Tribolium castaneum: one gene and its partner. The protein of the gene in region 1 interacts with the protein of each later gene in a pairwise test. Links are inferred from orthologs where the notes say so. Each region holds a gene or a part of one and is shown on either strand. Other genes may lie near its edges.

What was found.
Region 2: the proteins of ptc (region 1) and Nedd4 interact in a two-hybrid assay, tested with the Drosophila melanogaster proteins (2 studies listed by BioGRID). The link is inferred for Tribolium castaneum from reciprocal best matches to the Drosophila melanogaster genes ptc and Nedd4.

The regions. Positions count from the first base shown.
Region 1 is NC_087403.1:6,989,496-6,993,195, reverse strand, and holds part of ptc (patched), read right to left. Parts: intron 2,667-3,700; exon of another isoform or gene 2,354-2,666; coding exon of another isoform or gene 2,336-2,353; intron 2,277-2,335; coding exon 1,750-2,276; intron 969-1,749; coding exon 488-968; intron 433-487; coding exon 1-432. UniProt on the Drosophila melanogaster protein: Segmentation polarity protein. Acts as a receptor for the hedgehog protein (hh). Associates with the smoothened protein (SMO) to transduce the hedgehog signal leading to the activation of wingless, decapentaplegic and patched itself.
Region 2 is NC_087396.1:13,306,971-13,311,471, reverse strand, and holds the start of Nedd4 (E3 ubiquitin-protein ligase Nedd-4), read left to right. Parts: upstream 1-1,483; 5' UTR 1,484-1,666; coding exon 1,667-1,810; intron 1,811-2,134; exon of another isoform or gene 2,135-2,272; coding exon of another isoform or gene 2,273-2,326; intron 2,327-2,638; coding exon 2,639-2,718; intron 2,719-2,763; coding exon 2,764-2,845; exon of another isoform or gene 2,846-2,850; intron 2,851-2,901; coding exon 2,902-2,940; intron 2,941-3,033; coding exon 3,034-3,194; intron 3,195-3,286; coding exon 3,287-3,446; intron 3,447-3,499; coding exon 3,500-3,636; intron 3,637-3,683; coding exon 3,684-3,807; intron 3,808-4,501. Other genes in the region: mRpL24 (large ribosomal subunit protein uL24m), read right to left, coding at 308-1,066. UniProt on the Drosophila melanogaster protein: Essential E3 ubiquitin-protein ligase which accepts ubiquitin from an E2 ubiquitin-conjugating enzyme in the form of a thioester and then directly transfers the ubiquitin to targeted substrates.

The DNA of each region.
Region 1 (3,700 bases):
CAGTACAGCAGCCGCTAAGAACGCGGCGGAATTCACTAACGCCGCCGAGATAATGCTAGGACCCGTCCTTTGTAGCACTTCCGGTGGCGACAGATTCCTCATATGCGTCGACAAAATAAGGAACATTTCTCTCATTGCGAGTCCAACAGTAACAAAAGGTAACACATGCGTGCTCAGTAGGTTTATCGGCAGTCCGATCAAACTGCAAACGCCCAGCGCGGCGGCGGCTGAGCTCGCCAAGACCAGCACTCCCAAGGCAGCCAGCCCCGACTGGGCCACCCACCCGTACACCGCCGCCACCCCCAGCACCACCCCCAGCTTCACCACGTCCGTCTTCGACGCCTCCTTCAACATCTTGTTCAAATTGGCGGTGGAGAACGTCACGAAGATGTAATTCGACGACTTCTTGCTCTTCGTCAGACGATCCACCTCCTGGAACAACCAAAAATTACCACCATTCACTCTACTCCTTGCGCCAACCACCAACCTGTGCGAACTTCTTCTGCCAGGCGTTCAGTACGGTTGTGGCCTTCTCCTGGTTCCATCCGATGTGGTGCACTTTGTAATGTCCAGACCAGAATTCGAACAGTTCGTGTTCGCCCATTAATTGTACAACAGTTTGTAAAGCTTTGGCTTGTTTAATATGACCAGATTTATTCTTATTGGCACCGCCAACGATCAAGTCTTCCGGCCAGTGCATGTATTTCGCGGCGAAACCGTAACAACCACTGGTTAGTTCAGCACCAATATCTAAATTTTGACTCGAATTGTAATTTGGAGCCGTCACTGGACATTCCGGGTCGCGGGGGTTCAAACACGGCTTTTCCTGATATCCAGAGGTTATTCCAGCACGCTTGAAATAATCCTCTAAAGAATGATAATCAAACTGGGATTCTTTTTGCTTTAACTCGGATACTAACTGACTGGGGTTGAGGTTTGTCCATTTTATATGCTTGCCTATTCCATATCTAGAAACAAATAAACTCCAGATAAAACCCAAATCACACTTTGGGTTACTTTTTTTTGTAAATTTAATGCTCTGAATCGAAATTTAACAACAAAAATTATGTATCAATATTTTGATGACACTTTTCTTCATGTTTATCTATACTGCCTTAAGATTTTCGGTAAAAGAATCTAAGTGAGAATTCAAAAATGAATGACTTGTCGCATATTTTAGGCCTTAATACGTGAACATATGATTCAGATGGATTAATGTAACATAAATGCATAACGAAATTACAAGAAGTATTGGATTTTGAGAAATTTTGTTTATTTATTGTAAAAACAAATCATCATGTAACAAAACCAACTATAATTATCCAATTAATAAATTAATTGCTTGAAATTTGAAATTATGACACTTTTTTAATCCAAACTCTTCACTATGTTTCTATAAAATGAGTACATTGCGAACTCTCGAGATCTCCCCTATTTCAAATGAAAAATGTAAACTGTAGTTAAATTAGTTAATTGTTGTTGAAAAGAAAGGCGTAAATAATGTTACGTTCTTTCGCCAAGCCAAAAAAATATGAATTACTCGATTCCGATTCCGGATTAAAAATGAAATTAAATAAGACGATGAAAAAAAGTAAATATTTTGAATAAAACGGGTGATCAGCCTTTTTGCGAGCATTTTGGCTGTTGTTCCGGGAACGGTCGCGGTAGGTAAGACATTTGAGTTGGTTATAAAAGGGCAGCTGCTGAGCCCGTGACCACCCTCCAAGTCGGTCGGTTTTCCGAACTTACGGTATATGGACAGGATAATCAGGTCCGAGCAATTTGGAGCCTTCCCAGAAGCAGTCGAGCGCCGTGATGATGGAGCAGGGCATCATATTTTCGAAAATCTGTTCAATAAAGTGCGCATCAAAATTGGGAATGCTGGGTGCTTGGCAGAAGTCCTTGAGGCGCCAGGTGATGTCGAACATCGTGATGGTGACCTGCGTGGCCTTCTGGAGGAGCGCGAGGTGCTCCAGGAGGCCGTGCGGATGCAGGAGGTCGATGTCGGGCTCGACGGCCGTCTGCACGATCATCTGGTGCGTGGAGAGCATCTCCTGCGGCGTCGCCTCGGCGCCCGTGGAGGGCTCGGCCCACAGCAGCTCGATGTCCGAGTGGAAGGCCATGCTCTTCAGGCCCACGGAGAAGGTGGCGATCGCCAGCACGCTCACGAAGAGGAACTTGCCGGCGTGCGTATCGAGGATGCGGCCCAGGGAGCGCAGCTGGCGCTGAATTCGGCCACGAACCCACAGAATGCCGCGGTCTCCGCTCGCTTTGCCCTGCAACAGAGTATACCATGCAATGGACCACCCAAGCAGCGGCCTGACGTCACACGGACCACCCAAGTTGCATACATATGGATACGGCAATCTCCGCCGCACTTCACCGCCTAGACTGTCCTTCTAGGAAGGATCGTCCAACGCTAGCAAGCCTACCTACGGCCGCAGCGGCCTACCATTACTCCGATCACTCCGATTCAACAATATTGCCAATCACTACTCATACTCGACAGATACACACCGCCATACCATATCTCACAGCTGTCACACGACATGCCCTCGCACCGAAACGACCACGCAACCCCGAAAAGGAACCACCACACATTCCTCCTCTGCTTCCTCTTCTTTCATTACTATATTATACAAACGACGACATTTTTATCGCCAGTACCGATATGCCATTATTTTAGGACACCCTGTACGCACGAACGCCCACCAAACCCCTCCCGACCCCAAATTCCAACAACTCCTCACGACACAATTAACAAAAACCACCACTGACTTTTCGATACAAATCGATTTCTTGAGATTTTGGCACCTGTTATGACTAAGTATGACGTATGACATACTATATTCTATATACTTGGTATAATACTTGTGTTCCCTTCGATTCTACTGTTCTTTAAAGTTTTTTTAAACCCAAAAATGTTCCATTTGAAAAAACATAACTTTGGTGTTTTCTAATATTGGGACAGCCTGTATATGTACGAAGTTATACTAATATATAATAAGTTATTTAGCTTTTGTGTGTATGAAGGGCTGATAGGAAATGTGAGCCCTCGTCATGAATTTGGCGATCGTGGCTCGGTGCCAACAGCCTCCGCTCGCAGATTATGTCACAAAACCGCCAGCATTCAATTTCGGGTATTTATTTTTTATGTGGCATTCCTGTTGTCCATTAAACCGCTGGCTCATGCGAACGGAATGTTCACTAAATTGGGAGACATTCATCAAAATTTCAGTGGTCATTTCCCTGCTAATCAATAAAACCGTTTCCGTCCGAAATAGCGAGGCCTTTACCGCTCAAATATTGCAATTACCTGGCATAAAAAAGCCATAAAACCGCATTTACATATAAAATAAATAAAATAAGTTCGATTATTTTCATTAAAACCCGAGTCATGTGCATAATCTTTATTTGTTGCCGTTCTGAATTTAAATTTGCGAGTTGAGCGTGCATTTTTAAAAAGAGAGGAAAGTAGGTGCTCCAGCTTTACATGGGTTTAATTATTGTAAATAAACTTCCGGTAATTAAAAAAGCGGTACCTCTTGACAAAGTGCTTGAAAGTGACAGAAAGGGGCTGTTGTCAACGTAATAAAATGAAGTGTTCATTTGCAAGAGAAACCGATTTTGTACACATAAAATGTATAAACATGTGAATTGAGATGCAATCGGGTTTTGAAGCATCCTACATGGGATTTGT
Region 2 (4,501 bases), on another chromosome or scaffold:
TAAAATATTTATCAAGTCTGCTCTGGTGAGATAACTAGGGGAATCCCTGAATCTGTCAGTGGCGTGTGCTAATTTGTGAAATCACGCTTGGTCGTTTTTTAAACATTTGTGTGTGATGTTAAAATCTAACTAAGTAAATAACGTGTCACATGTAAGATAAGGCCTTTGGATAAGACCCAAGATTTGTAAATATACTCATAAAGTCATAATTAAAACATTTAATCACAAAATTGTATAATAAATAAAACAATTTTTAACTTTTTGTACATATTTTATTAATTAGTTTATATTACAAATTGGCAAAAAATCAATACCAGTAATATTTCGGGGGTACCCGGTCCTCTTTAATGCCCATGCTGTTCATAACATCCATTTCAAACGTTTGCAATTTCGGTTCAAACGTAATTTGCGTCACATCATTCGCTGCGGTGTCTTTGGGCTGTTCCTTATAAGTCCCCTTTGTCTTATAATCTATGGTTTCTTCCGCTGTCGCAGGAACGGGAATTATCCTCCCGGTCCTTGTAGACACCCTCACTTCCTCCCCATCTTCCGTAAACCTCCACTCAAATGGCGTGGCTTGCAAATCGGAGGGATCAACAAGTGCCACTTGTTCAGTCACCAAAAGGGGCTTCTCCACTTGCAAATACGCCCCCTCGAAACCTTTCCGCTCCCCGACTTTCTCCAAAACGCAGTTTAAACCTTCAACCGTGACCCAATTACGCTCCTGAATGATTTGTTTGACAATGCCCTGTTTTCCCTTATCTTTCCCAGCAAGAATCTCAACACGGTCGCCTCGGAAGAAGCTCCATTTTCTGATAGGCTCGACGAAAACTTTTGCGTGGTGAACCCCCGGTGCGTTCTCTTCTCGAAATTGGCTTGTCCACGGCCGGTGCATGGCAAATTTGTACTTGGTGCGCTTAGCCACCGCATTTGGTTTGTATTGGATGCCTTTGGGGTTCCTCCACTCCACTTGCTCCATCGCACGCTTTATGTAACGGTCGGGCAAATTTGAATAGTCCTTGGAGTATTTGCCCACTTTTGAAAGGAGGAACTGTGTTAGCCGCATTTTGTTCTTGTAACTACTTTAATTATTTTTCCATTTATTTTTCAAGTTAGAGGTTAGATCACTCTACAGAGGTCTATTTTATCGACGTTCGGCACCAATGCTACCAACATTTTTTAATTTTTTTTATGCGGTAATTCAAATAAAACAATTTTCAGTGTCTTTTTTTCAATGAAGCCAAAGTAATGCTTAATAATTTGTTATGAAACGAGTAATATAACCCAAAAAATAATTTTTAATTATAAAAGAAGTAGCGGTTTCAAGTTAAGATGACAAAAAATAATTAATGTTATCAAACACAATAGGGCAACATTTAACGAGTAAATAAAAAATCTAGGCCTTACACACTTTGCATGTGCGTACAGCAATGCTCTAATCTTTATCAGTGATACTAATCTCAAGATATGAGTTCACACAGCTATCCAGCTATCACACATTTCACGGTGAAAGATAAGAGAATTAAATTAAGAGAAATCTTCAAATTTGTGTTGGAATTCGTGTATTCAAGTGTTGTAACTATAAATATTTAGCTGTGGAGAACACTGTGTTTTTATAGTGCGTTTACTTAATTAAGCGTGATGCAAGAGATTAAGATTTGCATTCATGTCCTTGCAACCTCAAAATCCACCTGCTGAGCCTTCGGATGGCCCCCGGCAACGAAGTAGATCGTTGGGCAATAGATTACGATCGCTATCGATTGTATCTTCAAACCATAGCCCAAGACGATCATTTTGCGTGTCAACATTGGTAAGAATTTAAAAGCAATAAAACACCTAACTCATAATCACATGATAAAATAAACACAAGTTTAATTGCTTGCATAACCCGACGAAAAAACATTTGCCCAAACTCCCAAACCGGTACTTTTCTCAATTTTTGGTCCACTTTTGCCAACAAAACCTTTATTTTAATTATGGCACTGGAAATTTTGGGATTCGGACGCATCTCCGTAACCCTTATCAAGCAAATATCAAGATAAGAGAATATAACAAATTAAACCGAGTTTAAAAAAAAAGGTGGCAACCTTTTTGTGTCACAAGTGCGGCCAACCGCAGCGCACGGAGTTCCCCAAAAACGTCATTGTTGAAAAAAAGTTTGACATTAGAGTTTGTGTAGCTTGTCAATTCTTATTGGAATGAATAAATTGTTTTCGTGGCTGTGATCATTTTAACATTAGATGTAACATACAAATTTAGTTTTTTATCTTTAATGGCATCAGAAAATATCTATGGATACTTTCCTCAAATCGGACTCGATCGACTTGTAAGTTGCAAAATTAGTTACGTACAAGGATCATTTTCTACTATCAATGTCACTCGTATGTTTTTCCTTGGGCACATGCATATTGCGGCAAATTAAATAACTTATTTTATGATTAATCGATCTTTTAACTCCTGACCTGTCATTTGCACAAGGTCTTAAACCTCCTCCTTGCTCCTAAGCAAACCTATTTGTTTTTGTTGTGAAGTCGTAATTTAAACACAAAGTGAAACGAAGCTCTCTAATAGCGACATTATCACTAATTTGTTTATTCAATGATCTATTTACCAATCTAATCTAACCCATGTTTTGTAGACAGAAGAACCAACCAGCAAAATACGGCTCAGAATAATTAGGGGAAAGAATCTTATGAAAAAGGATATTTTTGGGGCAAGGTAACGTAATCCGCTTTTAAGCCACAAAACTTATTATCGTTTTAGTGATCCTTACGTAAAGATCGATCTGAACACAATAAACGGAGATGAAACGATTGATTCCGTTTTAACAAAAACTAAGAAAAGGGTGAGGTAATAACGATTAATAAATAGACTAAATTTTACATTTTTAACTTCCAACAGACCCTCAATCCAGAATGGAACGAAGAATTCATATTTCGGGTAAGTATCACTGATCAGAGTGGTCTGCGACTCAAGTCAAGTCACAGGCCACTTATTTGCGAGCGTGGTTTGGAACATTAATTTTCTGGCTAGGTGAAACCAGCGGAACACAAGCTGATCCTCCAAGTCTTTGACGAGAACAGACTAACCCGCGATGACTTCCTCGGCATGGTGGAGATAACTCTGATAAATCTGCCGCGAGAGCAGGAGGGGCGCAACATCGGAACAGTGAAATACCTCCTAGGCCGCAGAAGGTAGCACACTTGGCCTAACTTTTTCTAGCTTGCATGTTAATACTTGTGCTTAATTTTGCATGCTGGTCTTACTCGTCAATTACTCTACGTAGCAGTTTTAGTGCTCGTTCAAGAGTTCGAGGGCACCTTGAGATATATCACGCGTTTCTGCACGACAGCGAGGTGCCCCCGGCGCCCCCCGATTCGGACCGGATCGGCAATGAGCGCGACTGGGAGATTATGAGCGATGGGCGGGAGGAGGGGCCAGCGCAGGTAATTCGAGTTGCGATTTGTTGTGTTTTTTTAATGATTTATTTTTTGATAAGCCTGTATATGTTAATGATCCTTTTGAGTCCAATGCGCCCCTGCCTCCTGGCTGGGAGGAGCGGCAAGACGCGAACGGGAGGACGTATTACGTCAACCACATAGCGAGAACCACTCAGTGGGAGAGGCCCACGTCTAGGTACTTATTTTTGAGTGTTGGGCATTTAATTAGCGTTTTTTGTGCAGCAATAATGTCGATAACCAATTACAAGAGCAAAGGGTGCTTGAGCAGGCTGTGGTTTTTGAACGGCGCTACCACATTAGCGCCGAGGATGAGAATAATGGCAGAGGCGATTCCAGTGCAAGTCAAGTATGTTATTTTTTTTAAATAATATTACTGAAATATCAGTAGTTGGTGTAGTGGTAATGCATGTATGAGGTGGTGCATTAGTGTTATTTTGAAATTTTGGTGTTGGCAATCATTCATTGGCTATTTACATGTGAAACCCATCATGTTTTCCTTTTTTTATACGGAAAAATTCAGTTCCGTGACAGTGTCTCTCATGCAAACACGTATTGATTGACAATTTTTTAATAACAGGATTGGGAACACACTTTAAGTTGATTAATTGAACCCTATCCTGTTTTGCGTTATAGTAAGATATAAAAACTTGGCCACAATGGTGTACTTAATTGTGTCTTTAAGCCAGTGGTAATGGCGTTTTATTGATACCTAAAAACGAAATTAATAATTCAGCTAATGAATCGACTGTTTCTCAGAAATTCTTGTCTGCATTATTACGTCTGAATTTTTTATCAATCTTAATTATTCAAAAAGCAGATTATTCATGAATTAATTATGATGGTAAATTTTTGTGTTCATTTTATTTAAATTATGTAAAAATATCGCTTGATTTATAAATTTACTGCAATAACGTCTCGTGGTAAACATATAATTTTTTTATTAAATTTGCTTTGCAATAATTAAAAAATGCATAATAATAGGATATTTTTATCATTTTGACATATACAGGGTCGCTAAAATGTATGGATATAGTTAAATA